Linked DNA regions of Rhinolophus ferrumequinum. The protein of the gene in region 3 binds, or shares a complex with, the protein of the main gene of each other region. Links are inferred from orthologs where the notes say so. Each region holds a gene or a part of one and is shown on either strand. Other genes may lie near its edges.

Region 1 (7,282 bases), on a different chromosome or scaffold from region 3:
TTTCAGAATGCTAGACATAACACAGAATATCTACTTTGATATTGCATTTGGAGCAATAAATGCCAAACTCAAATGATGCAGAAGCCACGTTATCTAAAAACGACCATCCCATAATATCATTATTAAAAAATAATAAATATGAAGAGCATTATTTTAGTTTTAAATAACAATCACCAACTAAGGACCCTTTATGGGTAAGTAAACATTAAAAATAAAAGATGACCTCATAATAAATTACAGTATAAAAATATGCCTGGGAGAAAAACATAAAGCTAAATCACAAAATGTATCATCTAAATTGTATCACATACCAACTGAATAAGAAACTTACTTGGTTTAAAAAAAGTAAAAAAAAAGGGGGGGGTGGGGAAAATGAAAGAAAATCCAAATCATAGTATTTCCTTTTATAGTATCCCTAATTTTCCTAAATATATAATAATCATTTTGAACATTTTTTACTAATTCAAAAAAAAAATATTCTAAAAACAATCCTAGTCATTAAAGCACCAACATGTTATGTTATGCTATATAGAAATATTCTACTGAAAAACTACTCAGTGACACGGTTCCACACAAAAGGTTTCATTTTTCTAAAATCTTAAAGTCAGTATTTAAAAAGGCAAAGGAGTTTCCAAAACAAAGAAAAAAATTCCCAGGGGATACAAAGTTTCATTAACTATCTTAACTCTTTTACTAAGCATCATCTTTCTGCTCCTCTGCAATCAATAACAATGTCACAAAAGAATGTTTATCAAGATGGGGGGAGGGGTGTCACCTGTAATAATTCTGTATGAAAAATGTAAACAATACAAAAATAGGTGGGGAAAACTTTCACGATCCTACAACCTCACTTTATAGATATTTAATGTTTCCCAGATTGAAATGAACAAGTTTAGAAACTGGTATGCAAGGTTTGTTTTGTGTGTGTGTGTGTGTTTGTGTGTGTGTGCGCGCGCACGCGCGCGCGTGTTTGTGTGTGTGTGTGTGTGTGTTTCCTAAAAACAAATCTCCCCATAAGTCCCTTATTTCCAAATACTGTTCAAGAGTCACTACTACTCACCGCAAGTAATACTGTTTTAAAGCAAAGGCAGCGTTAGAACAACTTCTGGGAAAGTTGAACTCTTCAACAATTTCTCCCCACTGATTCTTCTCAGAAACCTGTTAAAAACACAGCCACGCTTGTCTGAAAATGCACAATCCAAGAAAACTCTAACCTAACTATGAAATAAATACCCATTCTACAGAGATCTGTAGATACCCAGGCATCAATGGGTGTTTCGGATCGATCCGTAAGAGTTACTAAGCAAGAGCTGCTTGAATCACTGTGTTTTCACCCAGGAACCCTGTATTTAATGGCACTTGTTTTGTTTGGGGGGTGGGGGGTGTCTGGTGGGTTTGTTTTGTTTTTGAAGCCCGGACAATAACCAATCGCAAGTCCCTCTGTCGCCCCCTTTTAAATCTCAACGCGGTCGGTTTACACTAAAAAAAAAAAAAAAAAAGTTCAAAAGGATCAATACTGCTCCGGACAGCGACGTCCGCAGGTTCTGGGGGGGCCGGGGCCGGGGCCGATTCACATCCCTCTCCCAGATCTATCCATCTCCATAGGCCCTTCTTTGAGGCCTACAGCTTCTGCCTAGCCTTGAAGCCTAAGATGGCTATTTGGAGACAGGTCCTGGTTTCTTTTGTTAGCTGTATAAACCGAGGGCGACGGGGCCGAGGCTGTGCCCCCGGCTGCCGGGATCATTTCGCAGCCGATTATCGATGTTAAACCTGCCCGCGCTAATTTTGAGTTGCACGAAAACTGCTCTCAGAGTCTGTGTCTCCGCCTGTGCTAGAGCGGCAGCGGCGGCAGAACTGACTCGCGAGCGAGCGGGCGGGCGCGGGCACGGGGCGGACGCGGGGCTTCGGCGGGCGCCCCGCACGCCCGCACTCCCCGCCGCGGCGCTCAGACCCCGCCGGGCCGGCGGGGCAGCCGGCAGGGCGCGAGCCGGCGCCGGGCCGCCCGCCCGCCCGAGCCCCGCGCCCGCCGCGCGCACGCGAGCCACCAGGCCAAAAACAGCCCCGCCGCCGTCCGCCTCCGTGCCACCGGCTGCGAGCGAAAAGAACGCCTTTTACCCCCGCGAGCCACCCCCCTAGCCCCGAGCGCCCACTCCGGGGTCAAAGGAGACTTTTTGGAGGAGGCCAGCGAGAGGGAAATACAAATTAAAACTTCCACTCACCTTCGCGAATCCGCCTAAAGTAGTGACTCTGGTGTAGAGACCGTGAAGATCCAGCTCCTTCCCACCCACCGCAGGGATTTTTTTAAAAGGCGACCTGCGGGAAAGAGAAAGCCCCGCACTTGTCAGCCGGGACCCCACGCCCGGCCCGGACGGGAGAGCCCCGTTCGCCCCGGCTCGCCCCGGCGCTGCCCCCCCGGTTCTGCTCTCACCCTCTGCTGTGGTGGAACTGCCGCAGCTCGTCCAGGAAAGCGAGTCCCTTTCTCCGCTCGTCCGGAGGCGCCTTCCCCGTCGAGTTTGCCATTATTTTTTCAAAGGAGGTTTTAAAAAAAACCCAGATCGGTGTTTTAAAAGCGCCCCCCGCTCCCTGCGCTTCCTACCAGAGCCCGGAGCCCATTCCTCGGCCGGCGGCGGCGGGGCTCAGTCATGGGCCGGCGGTGGCGGCGGCGGCGGCGGCGGCGGCGGCGCAGGGAGGGAGGGAGGGAGGGGGAGGAGGAGGAGGAGGAGGGGAAGGAGGGAGCAGGAGGCCAGGGGGAGAGGAGGGAAGGAGGGAGGGGAATTTCTAAAAAAGTTTAAAGAAATCGGAGCGAAACTAGAGGGGCAGGCGACTGCCGGATCCGCGCGAAGCCGCGGGGCGAGCGCGGCCCCCACCCCTTCCTTCCCTCCCTCCCCGCGGCCCGGCTCTCGCCCGCCTCTCAGCGCCGCCGATCCAGGCGGCTCGGCCTGGGGACGCGATTCAACATGGTGCTGCTGCCGGGGGCGCGCGAGCGAGCGAGCGAGCGAGGGGAAAGGCGAGCCGACGGTGAGGGGCCGGGGCGACCGGAGGCCCTGGAGTTTCGGCGGCCGCGGCGGCAGCGGCGGCGGCGGCGGCGGGGCTGGGGCAGGCGGGGCTGGGGGTGGGGAGGGGGAGGTCTGTGTGGTGGTTTGTGGAAAGCGGGGTGACAGCGTGTATTCCGGCCGCAGCTCCGCGGGGCCCTCGCACACATTCACGCGCGGCCTCGGCCGGGGCGTCCCCGGGCAGAAGGCACCGGCGGCAGCCGAGCCGCTGCGCGCCGCCTGCCCGCTTCCCTCCCCGCCAGCCTCCCTCTCTGCTGCCGCCAGCGCCGCCGCCACGGCCGGGCTGCCAGCGCCGCGCAGCGACCCCCGAGGGCCGGCCGCGGCACTGCGCCTGGCTCCACACCGCCCCGGCAGCTCCTCGCGGGGAACAATAGACTCGGCTCCGGGTTTAGGGTTCATCTGCAATGTGCCGCACATTTCACACGCACACAAAGCCGGCGGAAAGGGGGGCGGTGCGGGGAAACGGCCACTACCGGTTGTTCCAGGGTTAGGGGTGGAGGCAATGTTCGCGTCCTTGGCCCGGCTGTTGGAAGGGCTGCCTGGGAGTCCCCCGCCCGCTCGACAGAACCGGTGTGGCGCTCGGGAGGGAAAGGAAGCTCAGAGGGGCAGCTCCTCACGCTACGCATCGTTCACAGATTGGAATAAAGTCAATTTGTTACCCTTTTTTTTTTTAAGGTGTAAATGAATCGGCTTTTCTGAGCCTTGTACTGGTGTTTTGGGGCCTGGTTAGCACATTTTCCACGAATTATCCACAAACTAACTTTAGCAAACTATAAATTAAATACAATGTGAACTGTCCTAGTTCTGTGGAAATAGAGTAATGCTCTTAATTCATCTTGCCTTTGGTCTTAAACTAGATTATTCTATGCTGAGTTATGCAAACTGTAATTAAACTGATTGGGAAGCAATCTTTTGAACTTTGACAATAATGATTAACGTTTATATTTTTTATATTAAGTATCTTAAAGATAGATGGGCTTAAATATTAAATATTGAAAATGTTTTTCCTTTCTCTCAAATGTCTTAAATGCGATCCTCGTTTAGATATTTTTGAAGGTTAAAAAAAGGCTGCTTAAAAGGGGAGATTCAACATCTCAACAAATACTACCTCCTAAGTTTGCAAGGGGTACTGGAGTGGGCCCTTTGCTACAAGTGTTAATTATGCTTCACAATATGTGAAACATTATTATTCCCATTTTGCCACCATGGGCAAAGTCACTGACTAATCCAAGGTCACAGGCTAGTAAATGTCTGCATGGGTTATTATTTCAGGTGGTGGTTCCAATGGGAACATTTATTTGGTGGTGAGAAAAATTATGTAACATAGTCCAGTCTGCTTCCGGCGCTCACTCTAGGAAACGGATTTATTTCTCAAGTAAAGTTTATCTTTTAAGTGGGGTCGGAATAAGGCTGTGGCTAGGAGGTTCCAGACACCCAAGGGCCAGTGAATGTCTCGGAAGCCTGTGAGGGGCGGAGACCCGTCCGGGGGGAGTGGAGATGCCGGGCCGCACGGAGGCGAGGGGGGCGGGGTAGGAGGGAGAGACCTGGTCATTTGTCCTTTCCCCAACCGGTCCTCTTAGGGGTGGTGGAGATGTGGGCCGCAGAGCTGCGTGGCCTGGGCTGTGCGGATTCCCTAAACGCCGCACTTGTGCACAGCCCCTTACGTAACTGTCAGCGCCGGGGATTCCCTAGAGGGGGTCATTCTATTCAACCATTACACACACCCCGGGCTCCTGCCGCCGCGCCGCCGCCGCCTCACAAAATGGCGGCGCCCATAGAGGAGACAGCGGCCGCCTCCTCGGCCCCATTTTGTGGGAGGCGAGAGATCTGTCAACATGGAATACCTCCGCTGAGGATGCATCCGACTTTGGAAATCCTGCTTAAGTGATGGAGCCGAGGGGATCTCCTTCGACAGAAATTGTCAGCGATTTCTAACACCTCTTTTACTTTTTAAATTTTTTTCGAAGGAAACACCAGAAGCCCCGGGGGTAATTGTAACTAAGGAGAGAAGAGAAAGCTGCGGCTGACTTTTCCGGGGACTTGCCGCGGCGTCTTTGGTGGCTTTGGTTGCTCTTCTACGCTCTCGGGAGCTGAGTGCGATATTGCGGACGGTCGCCTGGGCCTCCCGGCCCGCTCCGAGGGGACAGGAACCGGGCGACGCGGTACGGCAGCAAGGTTCTCTGTCGCGCCACTTGTACAGCGAGACTTTTTTAGTAGTTTTTAAATGTCACAGTCTATGGCCCTGTCGGGAACCCTAGTCTGAGTCGTGGGTTTAGGATCTCCGGAGGCCACTGCTCCGGGAACTCGCGGTCGGCCGGGAGCCGGGGAGCCGTGTTGCCCGGAGCGGGCGGTACGCGCGGATTCCGGCAGTCCCGTCGCCCCGGGTGGTCGCGCGGTCCGGCCCCGGGCCCTGGATGGTGTCGATGGGGCAGGATTGGGAACGAAGCCACATGCACTGAAATTTAAGTCATACGAGTCGGGACCTAGAATGTCTATGTTAACAATGTCTCAGGTTAGACGTTGAAACGTCCTTTCTGGTATCCCACTCTGCAGTGGGCAAATCTGGTTGTCTTGTCTCTCATTCAAAGGGCAGAATGGAGGGGTGACATTTTATATTTTTGTTTTTCAAGGGGAGGTAGCCACTTTTAAGCTACTGACTGCTTCCTATTAGTTTATTTTTGTGTATATACGCACATGTATATACAATAGTGTGTTTTGCTTTTCAGTACAAGTGTCAAGGCTAAAGACCTGGAGTGTGATAGTAACGTTTTAATGCCTTTCTTTAAAAATTTAAAATGTAACTGGAGAATGGACTCTGAAAAAAAATTCCTTTTCTGCAGAAGAAGCTGTCATCTACAAAATGGATTCCGAAAGATGTCTGATGGCTAGAATTTAAATTAATAACACTTTGAATATGCTCTAGTCAAAGAAAAAAACCTGATATTTGTAAGATTATTACATGGTTCTACTTCCCCAATACTAGAAAAATGAAAGGCAAAAGTAAGCTTAATATATTAACGGTATTTGCTTGTGAGAGGAATAGAAAGGTTTAAGGAAAAAGGAGATTCCTCTGCTGAAACTTAAATACGCGTTACACGAATAATTTATTTCAAATGTTATTTTCAGTTGCAGCAATCATTTGTATTTTTATATGATTTTTTTGAGGTGTTTAAGTTGATTTTGACCTTCATATTTTTTTTCTGACGCACAACTGCATCTTTATGCAGTTTGCGCCTCAATCACAAAGTTCCATGCCCCATCCTTTGCCACACCCAGATTGCTACTCCTGGTGTGTGAATTACCAAGATACAGTTACTGATCATGTCTGTTGCTACTGATGTTCTTTATATTTAATAAATTTGGTTACCACTAATCAGCCTATCTCTTGCAAGAATACCCTATCTTAGCACTCAAAGTACCCAGAGAATATTTTTTATGGGATTGCACTAAAAGTAACCTTAGTGCATACCGGTAGTGTAACATTTCTTTGTACCATATTGCGTTTCCTATAGTGGGCAGCATAGAGCAGGTGGATCCTGGAAAAGAAATGTTAGAGATGTCCGACAGTTTTACGATATTCTCTAATTTAATAAGATATAAAAAATGAAATGTACTTTGTAGTTTTCAAGCATTAATGGAAAACATCCCTATAAAAATTACCAATAACTGGAAATTGTTGAAACTATATTTGTATAATTTACTGTTCTGATGAGAAATGTTGGCCAAGCCTTTTTGGTGTGAAAATGCAAAGTGTTGTTTTTAATAGTAACTGCAAACCCCGAACACCCTAATTAGAGGTTTCTATTATTTTATATAAATCTCTGATCCTTATCAGTTTTAATATATAACCAAGAAGTTGTGATGTTTAAAATTCCCTCGATTCATTCAAGTAAACTTAAAAAGAAAGCTTTACCAAATTTCAAAACAAGCATGTCAGGTATATGATTACAACAGCTGAAAAAACTTAATTGAGGAATTAATACGTCAATTCATTGGAGAAATTTTTGAAGTTTATTTTAGGTTGCGCTAAGTTTTAAAAGAATTGGTTGAACAAGGATATTGAACTTAAATTTACATATATTTTTAAAGATGCTCTTCAGAAGAAAGGTAAGAATGCTTTCACTACTTGTTGCTCTTTGCCTGTGTCTATTGCTGTATTTTTTTTATGTAGGCTAACTTTCTGAATGATTTGGGAAAGCATCTTGGATAAGCTTTTGGGATTTTTCATT
Region 2 (7,508 bases), on a different chromosome or scaffold from region 3:
ACCTCAGCGAGACCCTCACTTACACCTGGACGAATATGGAGAGAGACAGACAGTCAAACAGGATACACATGAACATACACACGGGAGATACAGACAGATCATCTGAGATAGTCAGACAAAGGAAGAGACATACCCACTCAGATGCATCCAGACACGTGGAGGAGACTCATGCAGACCCTTGGATACACCCAGGGATGCTCAGAAAGAGACTGTTTGACCATCAGACAGCCATACCCACATGGGGAAGACACAGCCAGACCCTACCATACACCTGGATACACATGGGGGAGATAGACATAACTAGAGAAAATCACTCAGATGGATACACAGGGAAGATCCACACAGTCCCTCTGAAGCAATCAGATACACCCAGGTAGACATTCTAATTCACCTGGACCCACACAGAACCTTGGGTACACCTGGACAAGGGAAGAAAAATAGCCAGTGACTCTGATAGCACTGGACACATTCAAGAAGTGATAAGGTCAGACACTCTGGTGGACCAACACACATGAGCAGAAATACACCAGACACTAGGAGAAGATAACCTCCCAGATGTTCGAAGCATCTGGGCGCTCAACAGAAGAGGCACCCGGACACCCTGCTATACCCAGACACACTCAGGAACAGCCAGATATCCTGACAGACCAAACACACACGAGAAAATAAACCTTCTAATACACTTGGAAACACCTGGAAAGAGGCTCAGACACTTAGATACACTCTATTACAATGGCAAGAGTTATACCCAGACACTCCAACACATCAAGACACACTCGGTCACCCACAGGAAGAAACAGAGCCAGACTCTCTGATACATCCCAGCTCACAAGGGAAGAGATACAAAGACTGGATACACTTAAACACACATAACAGACACCAGTCCGCTCTCAAATACACCTGGGCCCACATAGGAGACCATACCGTCCCAAGCTCAGTCACTCAGGGAAGACGGGAAACTCTGGACTACACCCAAGCACACACCAGGAGACACACAGCCAGCCACTCACACACTCTCTAGGAGGGAGATAAGGCGAATGCTCAGACACACGCTGGCATCGCTACACACTTAGAGTGTGCTGGGGACACTCATGGGGGCTCCCCCAGGCACAGGCAGCTCCACCCACCGATCTTGTACTCGCAGGGCCGGAGTCTGGGGTCCTCCAGAATGTTGAGTCGCCGTTTCTTTCTCCAACAGCGGGCAGGGTATGTGTAGATCTGTCCTGGAGCCAAACCTGGAGTGAGCAGGGCGGTGAGAAGAGCAGTAAGAACGCGGCTGCCACGCCGCCGCCCCGCCCCGCCCCCGCCCTCCTGGCGGGTACCTGGCCCGCGGTGGGTCTTCTCCATCCAGATGTAGCAGTTGTTCTGGGCCACGCCAGTCTGCGAGTCGAGGAAAGGCAGGCGCAGGCTGCGCTCGGCGCACAGGCGCGCGTTGTAGCTGCGGCAGTGCTCGATGGCCTCGCGGTAGAAGTCCTCGCCTAGGCTGCGAGGCGCGATGAGAGGCAGTGAGCGGGCGGGCTGCTGTCAGCAAGGGCAGGCGCGCCAGGGCGCCCAGTACCCCTCCCCCGGCTCAGCCATCCGGAACGGGTGGGCCGACTCTGCCAACCTCACCTGTCCCTTCTGGTCGCTCCTGGCTCCTGGACCCAGGAACCCCCCACCTGAGACTCAAGTAAGCCAACGAGTAGCCATACACAATATAGAAACAAAAACACAGTGGGACCTATCCATATATGCACATATCCAAACACACAACACAAATCACACATAATCACATAGGATTCACACACAAAGAGAAACATATCCCAAGACTCACAAAGGAGAAACAGACAAGTCTCACATATGTGCACACACACATATCTACTGAAAAACACAAATATCCCGTCACACAGTATAGAAACAGACAGATCACACATATATCCATGTACAAATACACATCCCATATCCAAAGATACACAACATAAACAAATCACCCACACAAAGACACACAATATGCAAACAGATCACACCACACACACACACACACACACTCATGCATCCAAACACATACACTTATGCATCCAAACACACATACACAAATGTTAAAAGAAATGTTAAAACAAACTACCCACATATGCATTTACACACATATCCACAGACAACACAGACAAATCTCACATATACACACACACACTACAAAGAAATCAGATTCACACAGGATACACACATTCACAAAGATACACAATATAGAAGCCAACATCTAAAATACCATATATTCAAACACACAAAGACACACACATATACAACATAAAAACAGACAAATCCACCCATATTCACACAAAAATTTACACATAGATAGATGCATACCTACATATCCAAAGACACAGAACACAAATGATGCACAGTTTCAAAGGACATGTACACACACTCCAAGACCCAAATACCCAATACCTAGTGTGGAATAAAAGAAATGAAACACATCTCCATGCACATATCCAGAAAAACCAGAAAACAAACAAGTGACACACACTCCACATCCCAAGACAAAGGTAGTGTGGGCTTCACTCAAGTTTACCAAGGTCCGCGCACCCCGCCCGCCCACCCCCCCGCCATTTCACCCTCTCCCCAACCCGGGTAGTCGCAGGGTGGGACCTGACCCCTGCCTCGAACAGGACCCGAAGAGGACTCTGAGTTCCCCCCACACTCCGCTCCTCCAAGATCAGCGCATCGGACCCCGTTCTTGTCAGAGACCCATAGTCACACACTCGCACCCCCGCGCAGTCGGGCCCACGGTGACAGCCCCCCAGACACCCATCGGCCCCACCCCCAGCTGCCACACACACACGCTCGCGCAGACCCGCCCGCATGCCCTCCCCAGCCTGCCGCCTGCCTGCAGCACCTCAGGGGGCCGGGGATGACCGTGGCCATCTTGCTCCCCGGGTCCTGCCCCCAGCAGGTCCCCGCCGGGTCGGTCCTCCCAGCGCACGGGCGGGCGCGGAGGCCGCCCATCCATTCATTCCCGGGGGGCGGGAGCAAGAGGGCCACAGCCAATCACGGCGGCGGGGCGGGCCCGCCTGGGCCATTCTGGGAGTCGTAGTCCAGGCCTGGGAGATCGCGGGACCCCGCGGGTAAGAGGGTGCAGAGGTGGGGCCGGGCAGCACGCACAGTCACTCACACACGCTCACTCATACACTCATCTGGTCTCACGGCGTACACGCACATCGGACTCGCACACCCACACGGCAGTTTACACACATATTCACATGTATACTCACTGCTGCCCACTCAAGCACACTCCACTCCCACACCTCACACACTCACATACACACACACTTCAGAGCCAGGAGACTCAGACATTTTACAGATGCCTACACAAACGTCCCACCAACATCCGCGGCTCGTGCAGACGCTGGACTCACTAATACCGCCCCCTCCCCACCCTCCAGTCACTCCTAGCTCCGGAGAACCCTATCCTGTCCCACTCTCACAGAGACCCCCCGCCTGCCCTACTCAAACCTTTCGCAGCCCTGACAGCAGCAGTGCTAGTTAGGAGCTGTAGCCATATTCCTCTAGGTTCAAATACTGGCTCTGCTACTTGGTAGCCATGTGACCTTGGGCAAATAATTTAACCTTCCTGGGCCTCGGTTTTCTCATCTGCAAAATGAGGGTGGTGCCTCATTGGATGTTGTAAGGATTATATGACATAAGTGAAGTGTTTTAAAAGGTACCTGGCAGGTAGTAGGTGCTCAATAAATTCATTCATCCCACAAAGAGGATCTGATATGTACTAAGATGTAAAATGGTGATATTGTTACCATTAGAAAGAATAATGCCTGGCACATAGTAAATGCCCAATAAATATTTGTTGAATGAATGAATAAATATACTGAACACCCACCATGTGCTGGGCACAGTTCTAAGTGCTTTACAGGGATTAATGACCCTCCAGGGTGATGATATTATTACTCCCGTTTTCCAGATGAGGACTCTGAGGCACAGAGAGGTGAAGTTACATGCCCCACAGCCTCCCAAAACAGGCTGTTTGAAGGTGTGACAGGGAAGGATTCACTCCCCCAGGTGCCTATCCCCAAGTGGGCCTTACCACCTTCTCTCTCCCACTCTCCCACTGTCATCCACACTGACTCCACCCTAAGAGATACCCAGAGAGTGAGCTGATTCACCCGGTCACACACACTTGCTCAGTCTCTATGCACACACCCACAGCACTCCTAGTCCAAACTTTATGTTCAGGTTTGAGCCTCGCATAAATGAAAACACCTACCAACGTCCTGTCCACCAGGGGGCTCTCCAGCAGACACAAGAGGCATACCAGCCTTCACCCCTTCTGTTTGATTCCCTCACCTAACCCTGGTGAGAGATCCCCTCAGGCCTCCCATAGCCATACACACAAACACCTCTAGTCTTAGACCCCTTCCACACTCTCCCCATCACCCCCCAAGGAGGTAAGGCCTTGAGGGAGGGGTCTCTGCTTCACATCTGGCCCAAAGGAGGTGGCAAGGGGAGTAAGTCAGGGATTGTGGCAGCCGCATGCTCACTATGGCCTCCAGGCCCCTATAACAGCCATTCCATACGTCATCCACAGTAAGCCGTGGCCCTGACCTGTCAGCTCAGCTCAGAGGGTACCCTTGCCACCTTCCTCTCTCACCTGCCACCACCACCCTCCAATCCCTCAACACACCCGCTAACACTTGCTCCCTACGTCCCTAGCCTCAGAAATCCTGGCTCACTACTGCCCCACCCCCAAACTCTCTCATCGTTTTGGAGCCTGAGTGTAGACACTCCATCACCTCCTGGAGGCCCTTGTCCACCCACAGACCCAGGCTGACACTTACCCTGTTTCCCTGAAAATAAGACCTAGACGGACCATCAGCTGTAATGCGTCTTTTGGAGCAAAAATTAATATAAGACCCAGTATTATATTATATCACATTATATTATATTATATTGACCCAGTCATAGTAAAATAAGACCGGGTCTTATATTAATTTTTGCTCCAAAAGACGCATTAGAGCTGATGGTCCGGCTAGCTTTTATTTTCGGGGAAACATGGTAGAGAGGAGTCTCCCTCCCTTTCCCTACCCCGTCAGTCACTTTCACTCACCTTCACTGACCCCTCTCCCACACTTGAACTCCCAGTTCTCTCCCCTGCCCAAACAATCCTATCCCCACCCCCCAATGCCCTGTGGGAAACTGGACCACAAATGAAATCAGTATTGACACTACTACTACTAATCACTACATTTAGTCAGGGTCAGGCTCTGTACTAAGTGCTCTACAAAGATCAAACAGCCCCAAGAGGTAATAAGAACTGTTATGATTCCCCAATACACAGATGGTAACACTGAAGTGGGGGGAGGGGGGATTCATGGCTCAAGCTGGGATTTGAATGCAGGCAGGCAGAATTCCTAAGGGCTGCACCCCCAGCCTCCCACTCCCAAGGGGAATAGACTTGCACATTCTTTCAGGAGCTAGTCTCTATCCTCACCTCTGCAGAACCCTCGAAAAGTGAGAGCAAAGAAGGAAGGGTGCTGGCACTTCCACCCCAATGCTAACTCTGGCCTCCAGGTCCCTGCAATGGGTTGTCCCTCACCTCCTCCTAGAGGTCTAGGCCAGGGTCAGAGTGAAGAGGCCTGGATGCCGATAGATCCACCAACTGGCACAGGAATCCAGTCCCAGCCAGCTGGAGGGCATGGCGTCCTCATAGGAAGACATCTGTCTGTGAGTACGACTTAGAATGAGAGGGAGGCAGAAAAGTGTCTCCATCACACACCATCTCACACTGACCCCAGCCCCACACCGGCTGTCCAAGTCCTCTTTTGCTCACCGCAAAGCCACCAGCCACCCTCCTTTCCCAACTTCTCCCCGCCAGAAACCAGAAACAACTGGGGGCATTAGAGTGGGGGGTGCTCCCGTGCCCCTCCCCTCTCCTCAAGCCCCCAGCACATGTTGCTCAAGGTCAAGGCAGCAGGCGCACCGGGTCGGGGGGAAAGGTGGGGGAGGTCGCCCGGCCCCTTTGTGCGGCGCCGCGGGCACTTGCCCCTGGTCTTCTCCCTCAAGCCGGGAAGAAGGGGGAAGGGAGTGCGCGCTCGCCAGCAGGGGAGGGAGGGCGGGAGCGGCCGCGCGCCTGTCACTCCGAGCACGCTGTCACCGCCAGGGGAAGGGGGGTGGGGAGCGCTGGGACCTGGGTGTACGGGATCCCGACAAGGGAGAAAGAAATAGAGATGGAGATGGAGATGGAGATGGAGAGAGAGAGAGAGGGAGAGAGAGATGGAAAGAATGAGGATGGCAAGGAGAGGGGAGAGATGGGAAGGAGCTAGGCACGAAGGTGTCCGGGTTCCCAGACACTGGGCCCAGGGAGGAAGCTAACGCACGGAGGAAGGAACGCGAACAGGGAGAGAGGGAATCCCCGGAGACTAAAGGCGCTCCCAGCACCTTCTCCCGAGGCATCTGGTACCCAAGGGGATGAGAGATGCTCGAGTTAGATGTGTATGAGCGGGGAAGAGAGAGAGATTCCACAGTCTAAGCTGACGGGGGCATCGGGGCTTCTAGGACCTGAAGACCCAGGAGGAAAAAAGAGGAGACAACAGGGACCCCCGACGTCTCAGCTCCCACCCTGCGGCCGCGTGGACCGAGGTCCGGGGAAAAAGAGGCAGGGAAGAGGAGAGAAAGGTGTTTCAATGAGGGGCAAGGGTGGTGGAGTCCCCAGACACTGAGGTCTGGACTCAGGCGTGCGTACTCCCAGCCTCACGCTGGGGAAGGCCCGGCGCCCCGAGAGACACGGAGCAGGAGAGATGGAGGAGGAGGAGAGGGAAGCCCCTACCCCCACTCTGGGTGGGGAAACGGCCTCTGCCATCCCCCAACCCGCACCACATTCCTTCACTGACAGCGACAAAGAAGAGGCGCCCCCGCGACCCTAGAAGGGTTCCCGCCCCCAACTCCATGGGGAGACAGGGGTTGGCGGGCGCCTTAGGGGTGTGGGGGCGCTCCGGAGGGGGCATTCAACTACCATCAACGCAGTGCATCCCCTTCCCCAGCAAGGGCGGGGGGAAGGGCGGGGCGGGTGGAGGGACGTGGACAGCGGGGACACTCACGACTTGAGCGGGTTCTGAATGGCGGTGGCCATCGCCCGCTCGGCTGGGCCACCTCCGGCCCGGGGCGCCGCTGCCGCCGCGCGCGGGCCCAGCCCGGCCTGCGCCGCCCGCTCGGCCGCCCAGCGCGCTACGATTTCATTCATTCTTAGGGCTGCGGCGCGAGCGGAGCGGGGCGGGCCGGGGGCGGGGCTGGGCCAATCCCCGCGCCTCCCGGCGCACGACGGGACCTGGAGTCTAGGGGCGAGCAGCGGAGCCCGAGGGCGCCCCTGCCCGGACTACAGGTCCCAGGGGGCGTCGGGAGTACCGTGCGCCCATTGGCTGCTGGGGATACAGCGAGGGGTTAGGCTCGCCCGAGAGCATCCTTCTCTCCTCCCTAGGGTGCTCCATTCCCAGCTCCGGCTCTCCAACATCCAGGCACCG
Region 3 (7,581 bases):
GCAAACAGTTAACCTCCCTGTGCTTCGGATTCCTCTTATCTAAAGTGGTCCCCTCCTCTGGACTTCTTTGGCAGACCAGAAATTCATTCCAACCAAAAAGTACTCACCTCCCTTCCGTGTTGCTAAGCCAAACGTATTTACAAAACCTAAATGAAGAGGTTCCTAAACTAGTTCACCTTTTCATTCATTAAACAAATATTTACTGAACATCTACTAAGGGCACTTAGAAAATGAAAATACAACGAAGTTCTCTTCTAATTTGCAATCACCTGGGTAGGTGTCTATGTCTATCTTTTCCACATTGTGAGTTCCTCAAAGAGAAATGATGTGTAGCAAAAAAGAAAACGGGTTTGGAGCCAGGCAGGATTCACTGAATCCCAAATCTGCCACCTCTACCAGCAATCTTAGAGAAGTTACTTAAATCGGGAGCCTCAGGTTCCTTTCATGTGTAATATAAAGTAAATAATGTCTATCATTCAGGACTGTTGTGAGGATTTCAGTGAGTTACGTTTTAAGTGCCTGGATATGGTAGATGCTCAGTTCACTTGACTGCACGGACAGACCCATCAATAAAAGGGGACTACCGATGTCATGCTTATTTCATCTATTTGCTGAGATTGATCAATCTGAAACTTCAGTATTAAATGCAATAGAAAAGTTTAGTTAAAACCCATCAACGTGTACAAGTAGAGATACAGTGTGTACAAAAGCAGCAAAGAACAGTCTTGTTAATACTTTCACCACTCCAACAACACTCTCAGAAACTGATAGGATTCCGGCTGTCAGATTGAATTCTGAATCTGAGTAGACCCAAGAAATACAGTCTGGCTTTATGAAACCCTGAGAAATCAAACCTAACTTTGACTTTGTCTTAAGGCCTCAGGGACACTGAACCAACATTAACCTGCTGGTTATCTAAGCCTCAAGCTGCTCTCTTAAGATTGGGATCCAACAGATGGACACGGACTTTGGAGAAGCAGAAATTATTTCCCTTTTTCTTCTCCCTTCCTTGATATTTGATTTAGTAAAACAGTCCTATGGGAGTCACAAAGGGATAATCCAAAAAAATATTACTCCTGAGTACCTTTCTTTGTTAAAGCTCCTTTGATAAAGTAATACAATATTATATGTCAATTGTAACTCAGTAAAACTGGAGGAAAAAAATCCAGACTGTGGGAAAAAATAACTACGTTAAGGGACACTGAAATTAAGATCCAAAGCATTAGCTAAAGGAAACAGGATAAAATATAATACTCTCATTTTATATGTATAGGTACAGATATCGACTACATATATGTTCAATTACCTTAGCCACTTCCAGAAGCTCTATTGCCTACACAAAAAAGTGACCAATTTAACTGTACAAGAGAGAACAATACTCTTACTTACATACTTACATACAGAAGAGAAAAATCAATCTACAATCCCAAATGTGACTCCAAAACTTCAGGGGGAAATAATAATCAAAACATCTAAAAATATACTGTGAATAATAATATATATTCTCTCTCATTTCCTAAAACTTCAGATAAGAAATCGTCATTTCTGGAAGTACCACAGTGTAATGTCAACCGAACCCAAGATCCCTTGTTCGTGCATAAGGACTTCTCAAAGCCAACAGGCTTCACTCTGCTGTAGACCCCAAATGAACAGCTTCCTAGAGTACTATCTTTTCATTCATTCAACTAGTATTTACTAAGCAACTACTAAGGGCGAGGCAATGAGTACCAACCATGTTCAAGGACACATTGTATATTGGACAGGCCTGATAAGCTCCTTGCCCCAGTGCTATGGTCTTCAATAGGGAAATACAGAACTGAAAAGGGTGTTACGGAAACTTGGGGGCAGAAGGAGTATTTCTAGCTGTGTGCTTCATTTCACCGTGTAAAGGAGTCAGTCCTAAGTATTTACATAAAGGGGAAGTTAAAAAACATTTGTTATAATCAAGGGGTTAAGTCACAACTTTCAATACCATCGACTCGGTGGAACTTAAATCCCAAAGGAAGGAGAAACAGAATGAAATGAAAAAAATAAAAAGTGGTACGAAGAAAATAAAGATGACATGAAGTGGGGTGATCTAATACACATGGGGCTCTCAGGGAAGGCCTCACTGAGAAACCCTCAAGTACAAGTGAACGTTAACTCTTTTACTCCTACTATACATAACTAAAACTACTATATCGTAAAACCAGTCAATTTTTAACGCGAGTTCCCATCAATACTGTAATTCCTTACATTAACCTATTACCTTCCGAGTACAATCGTCCATGTTCCTTCTCTAGCAAATCAACAACAGGTAGTAAGACCTTAGTTACCTCACTTGACTTGGAAGACTAGTCTCTAAACAAAACGAAGCTGCTTTTACACACTGGTTCAAGCTGTTTTTAACAATCATTGTTCACACACCTAATAGGGCAGCTAACAAAAGAGATTCACACCCTCCGGGCTGCTGAGCTCGACTGTTCGTGTTCGGGGAACAGGGGCTTCGCCCGGGATGCTTGAGCGCCAAAGAGCAGGGCCCTGAGGGTTCGGGGGAGACCCCCGCGCCCGCGGGCCCCGAGAGCTGACCGCGGGGGCGTGGCGAGCCCGGCGCCTGCCTTTGTTGTCCCTCGTGGCGCGCGGGGGGGAGGGGCAGCCCGAGGTCCGCGAGGCCAGTAGCCGCCCCCGGCCTCCGTCGCGTGGCCTCCCGGCTCCCACGGGCGCGCGAACCCACCTTCTTGTAGTGCTTGCCCAGCCAGACCCGCACCGAATCCAGCTGGGACACCGTCTCCGGGCTTTCCCAAAACTTGCTGGCCGGGCCCCCGTCCTTCCGCCGATAAACCGCCAGGCCCGCAGCCGCCGCCGCGCCTCCCGCACCAGCGGCTCCTGCCGCTGCCCCCGGCCCGCCGCCGCCCGCTGCCGCGGCCATCGTCGCCGTCCGTCGTGCCCACAGCCCGGCCCGCCCCGGCCCTCGCGGCGTTCCCCGTTCGCACCCGCGCGCGCGCGTAGCCGCCACCGCCGCCTCCCGGCCCCGCCCAGCCAACCCCCTTCCGGTGCGGATGGCTCGCCCCGCCCTTTTTCGGACCGGCGCCCTAACTGACGTCTGCACGCGCATACGCATGCGCAGCATTCGCGCCAGGGGCCTTCGGGTTCGGACCTCCTCCGACTTCTTCCGCCAGTCTATGCTGGCTGCTCTCGTCTGCTCCCCAGTCTCGGCCCCTGCGCGACTAGATCTTTCGTGATTCCTTTGTCGGATCCTTATTCGGTCAGCAACTGCGTGAAGGTTCTGTGTCATCGTTTGCCACCGCCGGAGAGGAAAGGGCTGGTGTGAGAAGTTTCGAAGGGAAAGCCCATTCAGGGTATCGCATGCTGGCGGAGGAACCCACTCGCAGGAATACGTACCTGCACCAGCTGTGGCTCTCAGACCCTCTACACACTTAAGTTGCCGCGTCAGCCTTTGCACACAACCAGCCCAGGGGACGACCACCAGGGGCTCTTTGGGTGCCTGCCACACCAGTTTATTCCTGCCTCTTGCACCAGCTGTTCCCACGACCAGCAGCTCTTCCTGCGACCTGCGACATTTCCCCTCTCATTGTCACTTAGGCGCTTTCAAATTCATAGCGTAAAGATACTTCAGAAAAGCGATCCCTGACCATACACTTGAACAACTCATCATACTCAATTGACATTCTCTGCGTAGCAGTCACCGCCACTTGGTATTTTTCTTAATAATCGTCTACATAAATTATAGGAAAATCTAGTCTTGACTTGGGAACAGAGCCTGTTATCTAATAAATATTGTTCAATGAATATTTGATGAATGCATTAATGATCTACAGAGAGAGGTGGAAAGGTTTTACATTATTAACAAAGTATGATTGGCCATTATGGATTTATGAACGTAACACTATATGACCCTACAAACCCTACAACAGAAGGTGACTGAGAAAGCCTGGTGAGTTTTTGAGACCAACTTTTTTTTGGGGGGGGGGAATATTGGAGAACAGTTTCTCCAGGTCCCATCAGCTCGAAGTCGTCGTCCTTCAATCTAGTTGTGGAGGGCAATCTAGTTGTGGAGGACACATCTCAGCTCTTAAGTCCAGTTGCCATTTTCAATCTTTAGTTGCAGAAGGCACAGCCCACTGTCCCATGTGGGAATTGAACCCGCCACCTCATCATTGAGAGCCTGCGCTCTAACCAGCTGAGCCAACTGAGCCATCTGGCGGCCCCTCCAGAAACTCAGCAGCAGCTGTTGTCTTCAATCTAGTTGTTGACGGCACAGCTCACTGGTCCATGTGGGAATCGAACCGGGCACCATTATTCAGAGGTCGTGCTCTAACCAACTGAGCCATCTGGCTGCCCGAGACCAACTTTTAAGAATGAATAGAATGTGATGGGAACATTTCAGATGCATGGAAACAACTAGAACAAAGCCATTAAAGTGTGAAAGCATGCTTGGTGGAACTCTCCTTAAACATGGGATGGAAACAGAGATTTCGCTTGTTGCAGTGAATTTTGACTTTATCCTGTAAAAATTGGGAAACCAACTTGAACAGAGAATGACATGATCAGATTTACAGATTAGGAAGATAACAATTGCAACAGTGAATGATAGATCAGAGGAAAAAACACTGGAGAAAAGATGACCTGATAAATAGTCTAGGAATGAGAAGCAATGAGATTAACATATGAGTAAGACATGGATCATGCCCTCTAAGGGCTCAGACTTTAGAAATGATCATAGCTGGGGTTTACGGTGCATTTCTGTGTGGTGCTTTGTGCTAAGTACACCTGCATTCCCACAGATTAGGATATTGAGGCAGAGAGAGGTTAAGTACCTGGCTAACAAGTACATATTAGAGTCAGGTTTTTGAACCCAGGAATTACACCCTGGAGTACTACTTCCCTCTCTTTTCAAGCACAATGTGTTTTCTAGTAATAGCATGTGAGTACAGCAGAGAAAACGCATTGGAGTAGTTCTGAAAGCTCTTTCATTTGCTGGAGTCATAGGGAAGTTGGTTCTTCCAGGGCAGTGGTTCTTCCAACTTCATGCTCAAATAACTTCTAAAATAATTTGGAAAACCATACACCTTTTATATTAGAAAAATATCTAAAAATTTTCATCAAAAATTAAATCATTGAAGAGCACATTATAAAAATGGACATTTTAAATAAAATGGTTACATCATTTTTTAAAAGTTTTTATTTTTAAATCTCAAACTTACAAAAAGTTGCAAGTATAGTACAAAGAACTTTTTCTGTTCTTGAACTATGACAGTATATTGCTAATATCATGCCCATCACTCAAGTTTCCTACAGACAAGTATATTCTTTTACAAAATAATCACAGTAACATTAAAACTGTCCTCAGACCCCATTCAAGTTTTTCTTGTTGCTCCTAGAACCTCCTTTGCAGCAAAGATTCCAGATCAGAATCATGCATTGCATTAGGTCAAGTTTCAAGTCTCTTTCCATCTGGACTGGTCCCTAGGCTTTAACTTTCACAGCATTGACAACTTTGAAGATTACAAGCCAGTTATTTTGTAGAATGTTCCTCAGTTTGAGTTTGGCTGATATTCTTCATACTGTGTTCTTTTCATTTCATACAATCAAGTGGCTCATGATTTTTTTTTTTAATTTTTTAATTAAAGTTTATTGGGGTGACAATTGTTAGTAAAGTTACATAGATTTCAGGTGTACAATTCTGAATTACATCATCTATAAATCCCATTGTGTGTTCACCAATCAGAGTCAGTTCTCCTTCCATCCCCATATATTTGTATGATTTCATTTCTTCCATTACTCTGATGACTTGGTTAAGAGAGTAATTGCCAGGCTTCTCTACTGTGAAGTTATCATTTATGCCTCTGTAATTAATTGGTATTTTCTGGGGAGGTATTTTGAAAGTATGTAAATATCCCATTCCTCCTTTAAATTTCCATTTATTTTTATCAGACAAACCCAAATGGCTCCAAATTTGACTAAATGCAAACTTAACTAAATGTAACTTCCTTCTCTAACAATGAAAAATCTGGCTGCTATTATCCTTACTATATTTACTTATTATTAACAGTTCACCTATTGTAACGGATCTACATGCTGGGCTACCCTCCCAGGTAGGGACTGGCTCCTACACGGGAATGCTAACCCATCCTAATATGCTTACATCTACCTTGCTCTACTCTACCTAGTGGCTTTAAGACTGAGTTATTTGAGAAGAGATAGTCGGGGAATAGCAAAAGCAAGAAGACGTCCCTCTAAAACCTACTGAAGTCTAAATATGTAATAATTTGTTGGCCATGATAAAATACACCTTATCTCTTAGCCACAATAAAATACATTCTATCTCTTAGCATAGGAGTGCAATACCATCAAAATTACTGTCCAAGTACAAACTGTACAAAGTAAACTTAATAATCAATGGGGAAAATTACAATTATTCCATGGCCTTTAAATTTTTTTAATCAAAACATTAAAAACCCAATCGGTTATCATTATATAAGGAAATGGACACAGTAAAATTAAATTTATTTAGTACATTATAATTTAAAGCATTAGAAAATTGAGAATTAATGTGGGTATATTTTGGTGAAAAAATTAACAATAGTTTGAATGTCTCATTATATAACTTACGAGCAAGGCTTTTTTGGTTTGGGCTTGTCAAATTCTCATACCCCTTTCTAAATTTGGATCAGCTTCCAACATTTTGTACTTTGCACTTGTAATGTGAATCTTTTTACAGGTATCATCTCCTCTGAGATGTCTTCATCACTTTTTTTCACAGTTTCCTCATTTATGTGGATGTTTGGCTTCACTAAGTTCCTCTGGCTGTGTATCTTGAGTCTCTCAAAGAATAATCAGTGTCAACATTCCTATGGTCAGCTGTTTCTTCTCTAATACTATTTCCATTTGATTTGAATTTCACTTCATAGCAATAGAATAAAACACAGAAATCACGACCATCTCAATAGCTGCAGGGAAAAAAACACAAAAAAAAGTTTGACAAAATCCAATACTTTTCATGATAAAAACACAACAAATTTGAAATAGAAAGGAACTTCCTCAACCTGACATTGAGAACTCCTGGGCATCAATGAAAACTCCATCACTAATATCATGCTTAATGGTGAAAGACTGAATGCTTTTCCCCTAACATTAGGAACAAAGGTATCTGCTCTTACCACTTCTATCCAGCAGTGTACTGGAGGTTCTAGGCAGGGCAAGTAGGAAAAAATAAATAAAAAAATAAAAGGCATTCAAAGTGGAATGTAAGACGTAAAATGACCTCTATTTGCAGATGACATGACCTTTATATGTAAAATCCTAAGCAAGCCACTAAAAAATCCCATTAAAACTAATAAATGAGTTCAACAAGGTTGGAAGATAAAAGATCAGTATACAAATACAGGCACACTTCAGAGATATTGCAGGTTCAGTTCTAGAACGCTGCAATAAAGTGAGTATCACAATAAAGCAAGACTTAATCTTTTTGCTGGTGGAGGGTCTTGCCTTCAATTTGTAAAAAAACACAACATCTGTGGGAACAACAAAGTGAAGTACAATAAAATCAGGTATGCCTGTATCAATTGAATTTCTACATAC
Region 4 (7,268 bases), on a different chromosome or scaffold from region 3:
GAAATGTAAATTCCTCTAAATTGTTTAAAACTATGAGATGATTGGAAAAAGCATCATCTAGACAGGCGGTCGTTGAAAGCCCACTAAGCCTTGATGCCTCTGGGTTGCTCCTTTGAGATTCTAGTTGCCGGGCAAGCACAATTTTACAGCGAAGAGCCTTGGAGCGCCGTTCAGACTCCATTCCATTTTTCTCCGTGGCGATCCAGTTCGTATCTTACAGCTTCCGTTTGGGAGCCGGTAATATAATGAATTGCCTTGACTCTCGCTTCAATCCACTTTCCTCTCTTAATATGCAGCCCAAAGTTTTGCAGCTCGCTGTCAGATGGTAGTGCTAGACTTACACTGCTCCCAAAGCCTCCGCTGGGGCTGTTTCTGAACACGGAGTTGCAAACTTTAAGAAACAGACAGCTCCAGAAAGAAATCCACGCCAGGCTTTGAACTCTGCTCCTGGCTTCCGTCAACTGACATAGTTGCCCTTTTGCTCAAACTCGCAGCTCCAGTTCGCACTAGAGAGAGCTCTGCTGGGTGTCAGCTTTTTTGCCGCGGTGGGGACGCATGTGGGGGCCACAACTTGGCGCTCCACCGAGTCCCCGCGCCTTAGTTCAGAACCAAGGCAAATCCTCACTGGGTCCCTGGGCTTAAAACATCTTCCCCCAAGAGGAGTGGGTAAAGGAAGGAGCCGAGTTCAATCTTTTGTTTGTTGAATTTTGTATTTCGGACACTTAGGGGAAACAAATTGAGAGAGAGGAAGGGCTGTCCACCCTGCAAACGTTTCCCTCTCTTTGCAAACCCTTCAGGCCTGGATTCCACATTTTGCAGTTGACTGCGTGGATTTAACATATGTTGTTCCCTTGTTCTCGAGCCGAATCCATAAAATGAGAGCACATCCTCTGCCATTTTCAGTCAGTTTGTCCTGGCAGCCCTGCCCCCCTCCTTGGCTGCCGCAGCCACGAGTTATATTGCTCGCAGAAACTCCGCCTGATCCTCCGGGCGGGAAATCCAGTCCACGTTTGCCTAGTGCCGTGCGGTCGGGGATGGTGATAAGAACTCTCTTGTGAGGGAGCGAGCGAGACTTTAGTCCGGTTTCCATGTCAACGATTCAGTCCATATTTGCCATCAGGCTGTTGGTGGCAGAGGCGCTTTCGTGAGGGTACGCGCTGTCCTAGTCCTAGTTCTCTAATCTGCGCCGGGATTCCTGCGCTGCCTGGGTGTGGGGTTAAAAGGCAGGGGCCGTAGGGGAGAAAACTCCACGGAGGGAAAGACCCATAGACCCAAACCTAGGGCTCGCTGCTCGAGCCAGCCACGTGCCCAGCTCCGCCCCTCCCCCCCTTTCCCGCTGCCATTGCCCCTAGGGAAAGCTGATGGGCCAGTTTCTAAGAAAGTTCCCCTTCAACTCCGCAGTCCCTGGGATAATGGTGTGGGGCTCTAAATGTAGGGGTGTAAAAGAACAATAAAGGATTTGAGATTTAAAAAATATATAGTGGAAAAGGAGAAATCCCACGTTACCTCCTCCAACCCAGGTGGATAGATTTTTTTGTGCACTTTACCTCATTGTTAAATAAAAATGGTGGCTGTTTTCTAAACAGCTTGCCCACGTGTAGAAAAGGGATTTTGACACTTTGCGAATTTCACAGCCCTTGAAGAAAAGGGATGAGGGCTTCCTCTGGAGAGACCCATTCTGGCTTCCAGATTTTCACTGGGCTCTGGGTTTCCTATTACACTCAAGCTCTGAGGAAAATGGCAGGATAATTGCATGTAAAAAATTCCTCATTTGTGTGCGGGACCCAGGACTGTTTGCCAGCTCAGAGGCAGTTGATTAAATAGCCAAGCTCCATTTATGAGGCAGCCTATAATTTGGCTTCTAGGACCTAATGCATGGGGAGAGTTGTTGCCCCTGAGGACTGAGTGAAACAGGGCACTGGCCCATTCCAGTCAGTCAGGTCCTGGCGTTTGGTTCCTTCCTAGGAGGGCGGGGTGAGCGAACACCATTCTTAGATTGACAGGAAGGTGTTGTCTTATTAGTGTAGGATGCTCTTAAGTGTTTTAGGGATAGGGATGAGTTCAGGTTTTTCGAATTATTCATGGTGACCAGTGGCACAGACAGAACTCCAGGGGCCTGCAGAATCTGGAAATTCTAAGATAATAGTTCTGTGGCCAAGAAGTCTCCATTTGTAAAAGCTGAGGAGAGAAGAGGCCCTGATGGCTAGTGACTACATGGACCTCGGCTTCTTTTTCCTAAGGCAGCCTTAGGCCTGGTGAGGCGCTGGAATCTCCTCTGGCTTTTGTAGCCTGTCACATCAGAGCATTCCAAGTCAGCCTGAGGAGGAAAAGGCTGCTGCTGGGATTTGGTTGGGCCTGTAGATCCGGCGTTTTATATGTAAGCCTCCAGCTCAATCTGCATCTCTTAGAATGTAATGGTAAAACTTTGAAGAATCTTTTCAATGGAGAATAGAAAACAAATTGGGTTGCATCCATTTTCTCAGTGACATGTCAGACTGCCCTTTTTCTTTTAGCCATTCTGTGTAGCCATTCCTCTTCTGCAGTGGTTCCTTCACTCACATTCCTCCATCCCTTATAGCTTCTTCTGTGGTCTGTTTATAGGCTCACAGGTACTGTACTGGGAGACGGGATATTGGTCACTGTGGGCTATGTTCTCTTAGGAGACAAAGATGAGGCTTGGGTTCAGCTAGAAGGCTGTCATATTTCCCAGAGTAGCTTCAGTGGTGAGCATTTTAAGACAGTATTGAGATGACCAGCTTTGATCTCAAATCCATTCTGATAATCAGATCCCATTGTTGGATATGACACAACTTGACTTTTTTTTTTTTTTAAAGGCTTAAAGGCTAAGTAGACAAGGGCAACTTTGGGGACTCTGCTACTTTTTAAAGCCACTCTCCTCTGTCATCTAACTTTAAGTGATGGAGCAGTCCCTTCCCCTTTCTTTCAATTCCGTAAAATGGGGATAATCCGACCTCATGCCCCCAGGGCCTTGTGAGGACCTGTTACTGAGGGCAAGGGAGAGGGAAAACGGAAAGTCTGAACAATAATATGTCATTATGTCATTACATTAGGCTTGCAAAGGGGTTTAAAAGTAAGGTCCACTCTCTCACTCAGCTGGGTCGTTAGAGCGGGTTTGTAAAAGGCTTTGAAGAAGAAAAGTACGGTAGAAGTGCTAAGTAGCAGCCAAGAGACCAGGCCCACTGCCAGAGGGTCAGGCCTGGGCCTGAGGCGGCCGCGATCTCAGGCTGAGCCAATTCTGCAGACGCGAGTAAAGTTCACGCTGCCCGCTCCCCTCGGTGCGGCCTAGAGGAGACCGACCCGGATAGGAACGACGGGAGGAAGGCGGCGCAGGTTCCGGAAAGGCGCAAGCTCCGGGCCGGGTTTTCCCCGAAGCCTTCGGCGGCGGCGCTGCCGAGCGAAAGCGGCAGAGGGCCTGCTGCCGCCGCGGCTGGTTATCTCCCCTCCTCCTTTGTGAGGGGAAGGGAGCGAGTCCGTTCCACGGCCTGCGCCCGCTCCGCGCTCCGTTCCGGGTTTGCCAGGCGGCCGCGACGGCGCTGGGTAAAATGGCAGTGCTGAGCCTCGTGTCGGAGTGAGGGGGACTCGGAGGAGAGTGGGGCGCTCTAGCCGCTCAGTCCGGCCGCTCGCCCGCTCGCCCGCCCGCTGCCGCGCAGCAGCCTCGGTCCGCGTCGCGGCCGGGGAGGGGAGGCAGGGCGCCCGGCCCGCGCTCCGACTCTGACTCCAGGCGCCCGGGTTGCCGCTGCGCGCCCTCCAGCCCGCCCGTCCCGGGTCCCCCTCCCCCCGCTCCCTCCCTCCCTCCCTCCCTCCCCGCCCCCTCCCCCTCGCCTCCCTCCCTCCCTCCTCCTTTCTCCGGCAGCAGAAAGCGGAGAGTCACAGCGGGGCCAGGCCCTGGGGAGCGGAGCCTCCACCGCCCCCCTCATTCCCAGGCAAGGGCTTGGGGGGAATGAGCCGGGAGAGCCGGGTCCCGAGCCTACAGAGCCGGGAGCAGCTGAGCCGCCGGCGCCTCGGCCGCCGCCGCCTCCTCCTCCTCCGCCGCCGCCAGCCCGGAGCCTGAGCCGGCGGGGCGGGGGGGAGAGGAGTGAGCGAGCGAGCGCAGCTCAGCAGCGGAGCCCCGCGAGGCCCGCCCGGGCGGGTGGGGAGGGCAGCCCGGGGGACTCGGCCCCGGGGCGGGGTGGGAGGGGGGGAGAAGACGAAGACAGGGCCGGGTCTCTCCGCGGACGAGACAGCGGGGATCATGGCCGCGCAGGTCGCCCCCGCCGCCGCCAGCAGCCTGGGCAACCCGCCGCCGCCGCCCTCGGAGCTGAAGAAAGCGGAGCAGCAGCAGCGGGAGGAGGCGGGGGGCGAGGCGGCGGCGGCGGCAGCGGTCGAGCGCGGGGAAATGAAGGCAGCCACCGGGCAGGAAAGCGAGGGCCCCGCCGTGGGGCCGCCGCAGCCGCTGGGAAAGGAGCTGCAGGACGGGGCCGAGAGCAATGGGGGTGGCGGCGGCGGGCCCGGCGCGGAGCCGGACCTGAAGAACTCGAACGGGAACGCGGGCCCTAGGCCCGCCCTGAACAATAACCTCACGGAGCCGCCCGGCGGCGGCGGCGGCGGCAGCAGCGATGGGGTGGGGGCGCCTCCTCACTCAGCCGCGGCCGCCTTGCCGCCCCCAGCCTACGGCTTCGGGCAACCCTACGGCCGGAGCCCGTCTGCCGTCGCCGCCGCGGCGGCCGCCGTCTTCCACCAACAACATGGCGGACAACAAAGCCCTGGCCTGGCAGCGCTGCAGAGCGGCGGCGGCGGCGGGGGCCTGGAGCCCTACACGGGGCCCCAGCAGAACTCGCACGACCACGGCTTCCCCAACCACCAGTACAACTCCTACTACCCCAACCGCAGCGCCTACCCCCCGCCCCCCCAGGCCTACGCGCTGAGCTCCCCGAGAGGTGGCACTCCGGGCTCCGGCGCGGCGGCGACCGCCGGCTCCAAGCCGCCTCCCTCCTCCAGCGCCTCCGCCTCCTCGTCGTCTTCGTCCTTCGCTCAGCAGCGCTTCGGGGCCATGGGGGGAGGCGGCCCCTCAGCGGCTGGCGGGGGAACCCCCCAGCCCACCGCCACCCCCACCCTCAACCAACTGCTCACGTCGCCCAGCTCGGCCCGGGGCTACCAGGGCTACCCCGGGGGCGACTACGGCGGCGGGCCCCAGGACGGGGGCGCAGGCAAGGGCCCAGCGGACATGGCCTCGCAGTGCTGGGGGGCTGCTGCTGCGGCGGCGGCGGCGGCAGCTGCCTCGGGAGGGGCCCAACAAAGGAGCCACCACGCGCCCATGAGCCCCGGGAGCAGCGGCGGCGGGGGGCAGCCGCTCGCCCGGACCCCGCAGGTACACTGCTGAATGGGGAGGGGCTGGGGCGAGCGGGGTCCGGGGAGTGGGTGGCGGCTGCGGGGACCAGGCCACAGCCGTGGGCTACCCCCAGTCCGGGGCCCCCACTGCTGGGGAGCTGCCATTGTCTGGCTCTTCTCTCTTAAAATGGCTGCCTGTCTGCCTTCCTTTCCTTCCCTCCTTCAGCCTTTGTGTGGGGCTTTCCCTGAGGTGTCTGCTCCCCTTCTCCCTCTCCCCTGGTCCCTTTGAACTCCGGGGGTCTTCAAGGGGGTGCGGGGCAGAGTGCGGGGAAGGGGCCTGGTCAGGGGTGAGGGGGTGCTGGAGGCTCAGGTTAGGGGTGCAGGCATTGCTAGGAGCTCAGGTGTTAAGTGAACAATTCTTTGCTCACCTGCCGCTCCTCTCTGCCCCCCCTGCCTTCCTCCAGGCCGTCCCCCATCTGTGCTTTTAAGGAGGGGCCCCTCAGACTCGGGGGGACCTCGAGGGAGGGCAGGGGCCTGCTTGGGGGCAGCTAGAGGCCGGCCGCGGTTCACCCAGGGCAGCTTGGGCCACCTCCTGCTTAGTCTCCTTCGGCCCAGTGGCCTGGGCTTCTCCCTGGAAGTGCTGGTAAACAGCTGAGTGATTGGAGTAGTAAGTGCAGATTGCTTTGGTTTGGGATTTGAATTATGGAGGTAAAATCCTTCTGTCAAAGCCAGGAGACAGTTGGTCTTAGGTTGACATCCTATCTGTGATCTGATTGGCTCCCCATCTCCTGCTCTTGGCCATTTATAATTGCCTCTGATGTAATGGTACAACAATCCTGATGAGCTCATAAACTTTTACACTCTGCTTTTCTGCCAGTGATAACCCAAACCATCGCTGCCACTATCTGCCTTTTATTCCAGAGCTGAAATTGGCTGTGACCTTGAGGAGGGAGGTTTAAGCAGCAATACTGTATCAGCAGGAGCAGAGCCCCAGACAGGCTGCCCTTGTTACATTGTGCCTGAAACAAAAGAGGAGGCAGTGGCATTTTGCTTGTACCTTGGATTTATTTTGCTTGTTATGTTTTATGCAGCCTGAAATAGATTCTGTGTTGTCAGAACAGTAGCTGGGTTTTTCTCTACAATGGGTTTGCTGTTTGTTTTGGTTTTGTGACTTTTCTGATGGTATAAATGACTTCTTTGATGGCTCTGAGGATCCGTTTGTCTTGAGTAATTTTGACCCTGTTCACTTTGCAGAATTGAAATTATTTTACTGGATTTTTTATTGAGTGCCAAATGTAGGGTCTTTATGGGAGGAGATAATAGAAAACTTTTTTTTTTTTTTTTTGAGAACTAGAAGCTTTCAGAGAATTTCATGTTAGGTTCAAGAGTTCTGTTTTAAGGAAAGCTGGCCTCATTCTTTGTTTACATGTTGAATCTTAACACTCTTTTGTTAATTGAATTTTGGTAAAGCAGCTCAATTTAAAGGGAAGCTGACATCTTTCATGATCTTGAGAGGGAGTTTATCCTAAAGACTTGGCTTGGTGTTCCTGGAATATCAAAAAGGCTAGTTTTCTATTTTGTCATTTTAGAGCTTTAAAATAGAGGACAACCAATTTTTTTCTTTGCATTTTAAGGTATGTTTCTTTTTTTTTCTATATTGCAAGATAAAAAGATAGGACCTACAGTGATACTTAAAATTTGCTTAGAAATTACAACTTTCAGGTACTTTTTTATGCGTTCTCTTTTATTTTGCGATTTTTCCCTCTTCATGTTCTGTTTACAATGCTTTGATCAGAAATAGTGGGTATTTTATGGAGTCATGTATCTTTGCAAAGAGGAGGAAGAAAGCTCCAAAAGCTCCCTGCATATTCCCCTCCCAGCAGTACTCAGTTTACCTTTGTGGTACTAGGCTCACTTAGGCAGCTAATTAGCTGTATTCC

What was found.
Region 1: SMARCC1 (region 3) and ARID2 share a complex: the UniProt entries of both Homo sapiens proteins name them as parts of the SWI/SNF-B (PBAF) chromatin remodeling complex. The link is inferred for Rhinolophus ferrumequinum from reciprocal best matches to the Homo sapiens genes SMARCC1 and ARID2.
Region 2: SMARCC1 (region 3) and DPF1 share a complex: the UniProt entries of both Homo sapiens proteins name them as parts of the neuron-specific chromatin remodeling complex. The link is inferred for Rhinolophus ferrumequinum from reciprocal best matches to the Homo sapiens genes SMARCC1 and DPF1.
Region 4: SMARCC1 (region 3) and ARID1A share a complex: the UniProt entries of both Homo sapiens proteins name them as parts of the neuron-specific chromatin remodeling complex. The link is inferred for Rhinolophus ferrumequinum from reciprocal best matches to the Homo sapiens genes SMARCC1 and ARID1A.

What each region holds. Positions count from the first base shown.
Region 1 is NC_046293.1:47,892,767-47,900,048, reverse strand, and holds the start of ARID2 (AT-rich interactive domain-containing protein 2), read right to left. Parts: upstream 3,012-7,282; 5' UTR 2,521-3,011; coding exon 2,429-2,520; intron 2,314-2,428; coding exon 2,220-2,313; intron 1,159-2,219; coding exon 1,061-1,158; intron 1-1,060. UniProt on the Homo sapiens protein: Involved in transcriptional activation and repression of select genes by chromatin remodeling (alteration of DNA-nucleosome topology). Required for the stability of the SWI/SNF chromatin remodeling complex SWI/SNF-B (PBAF).
Region 2 is NC_046298.1:37,699,839-37,707,346, forward strand, and holds the start of DPF1 (zinc finger protein neuro-d4), read right to left. Parts: upstream 3,006-7,508; 5' UTR 2,986-3,005; coding exon 2,876-2,985; intron 1,484-2,875; coding exon 1,323-1,483; intron 1,236-1,322; coding exon 1,128-1,235; intron 1-1,127. UniProt on the Homo sapiens protein: May have an important role in developing neurons by participating in regulation of cell survival, possibly as a neurospecific transcription factor. Belongs to the neuron-specific chromatin remodeling complex (nBAF complex).
Region 3 is NC_046300.1:8,038,882-8,046,462, reverse strand, and holds the start of SMARCC1 (SWI/SNF complex subunit SMARCC1), read right to left. Parts: upstream 3,013-7,581; 5' UTR 2,909-3,012; coding exon 2,714-2,908; intron 1-2,713. UniProt on the Homo sapiens protein: Involved in transcriptional activation and repression of select genes by chromatin remodeling (alteration of DNA-nucleosome topology).
Region 4 is NC_046292.1:18,273,496-18,280,763, forward strand, and holds the start of ARID1A (AT-rich interactive domain-containing protein 1A), read left to right. Parts: upstream 1-4,252; coding exon 4,253-5,368; intron 5,369-7,268. UniProt on the Homo sapiens protein: Involved in transcriptional activation and repression of select genes by chromatin remodeling (alteration of DNA-nucleosome topology).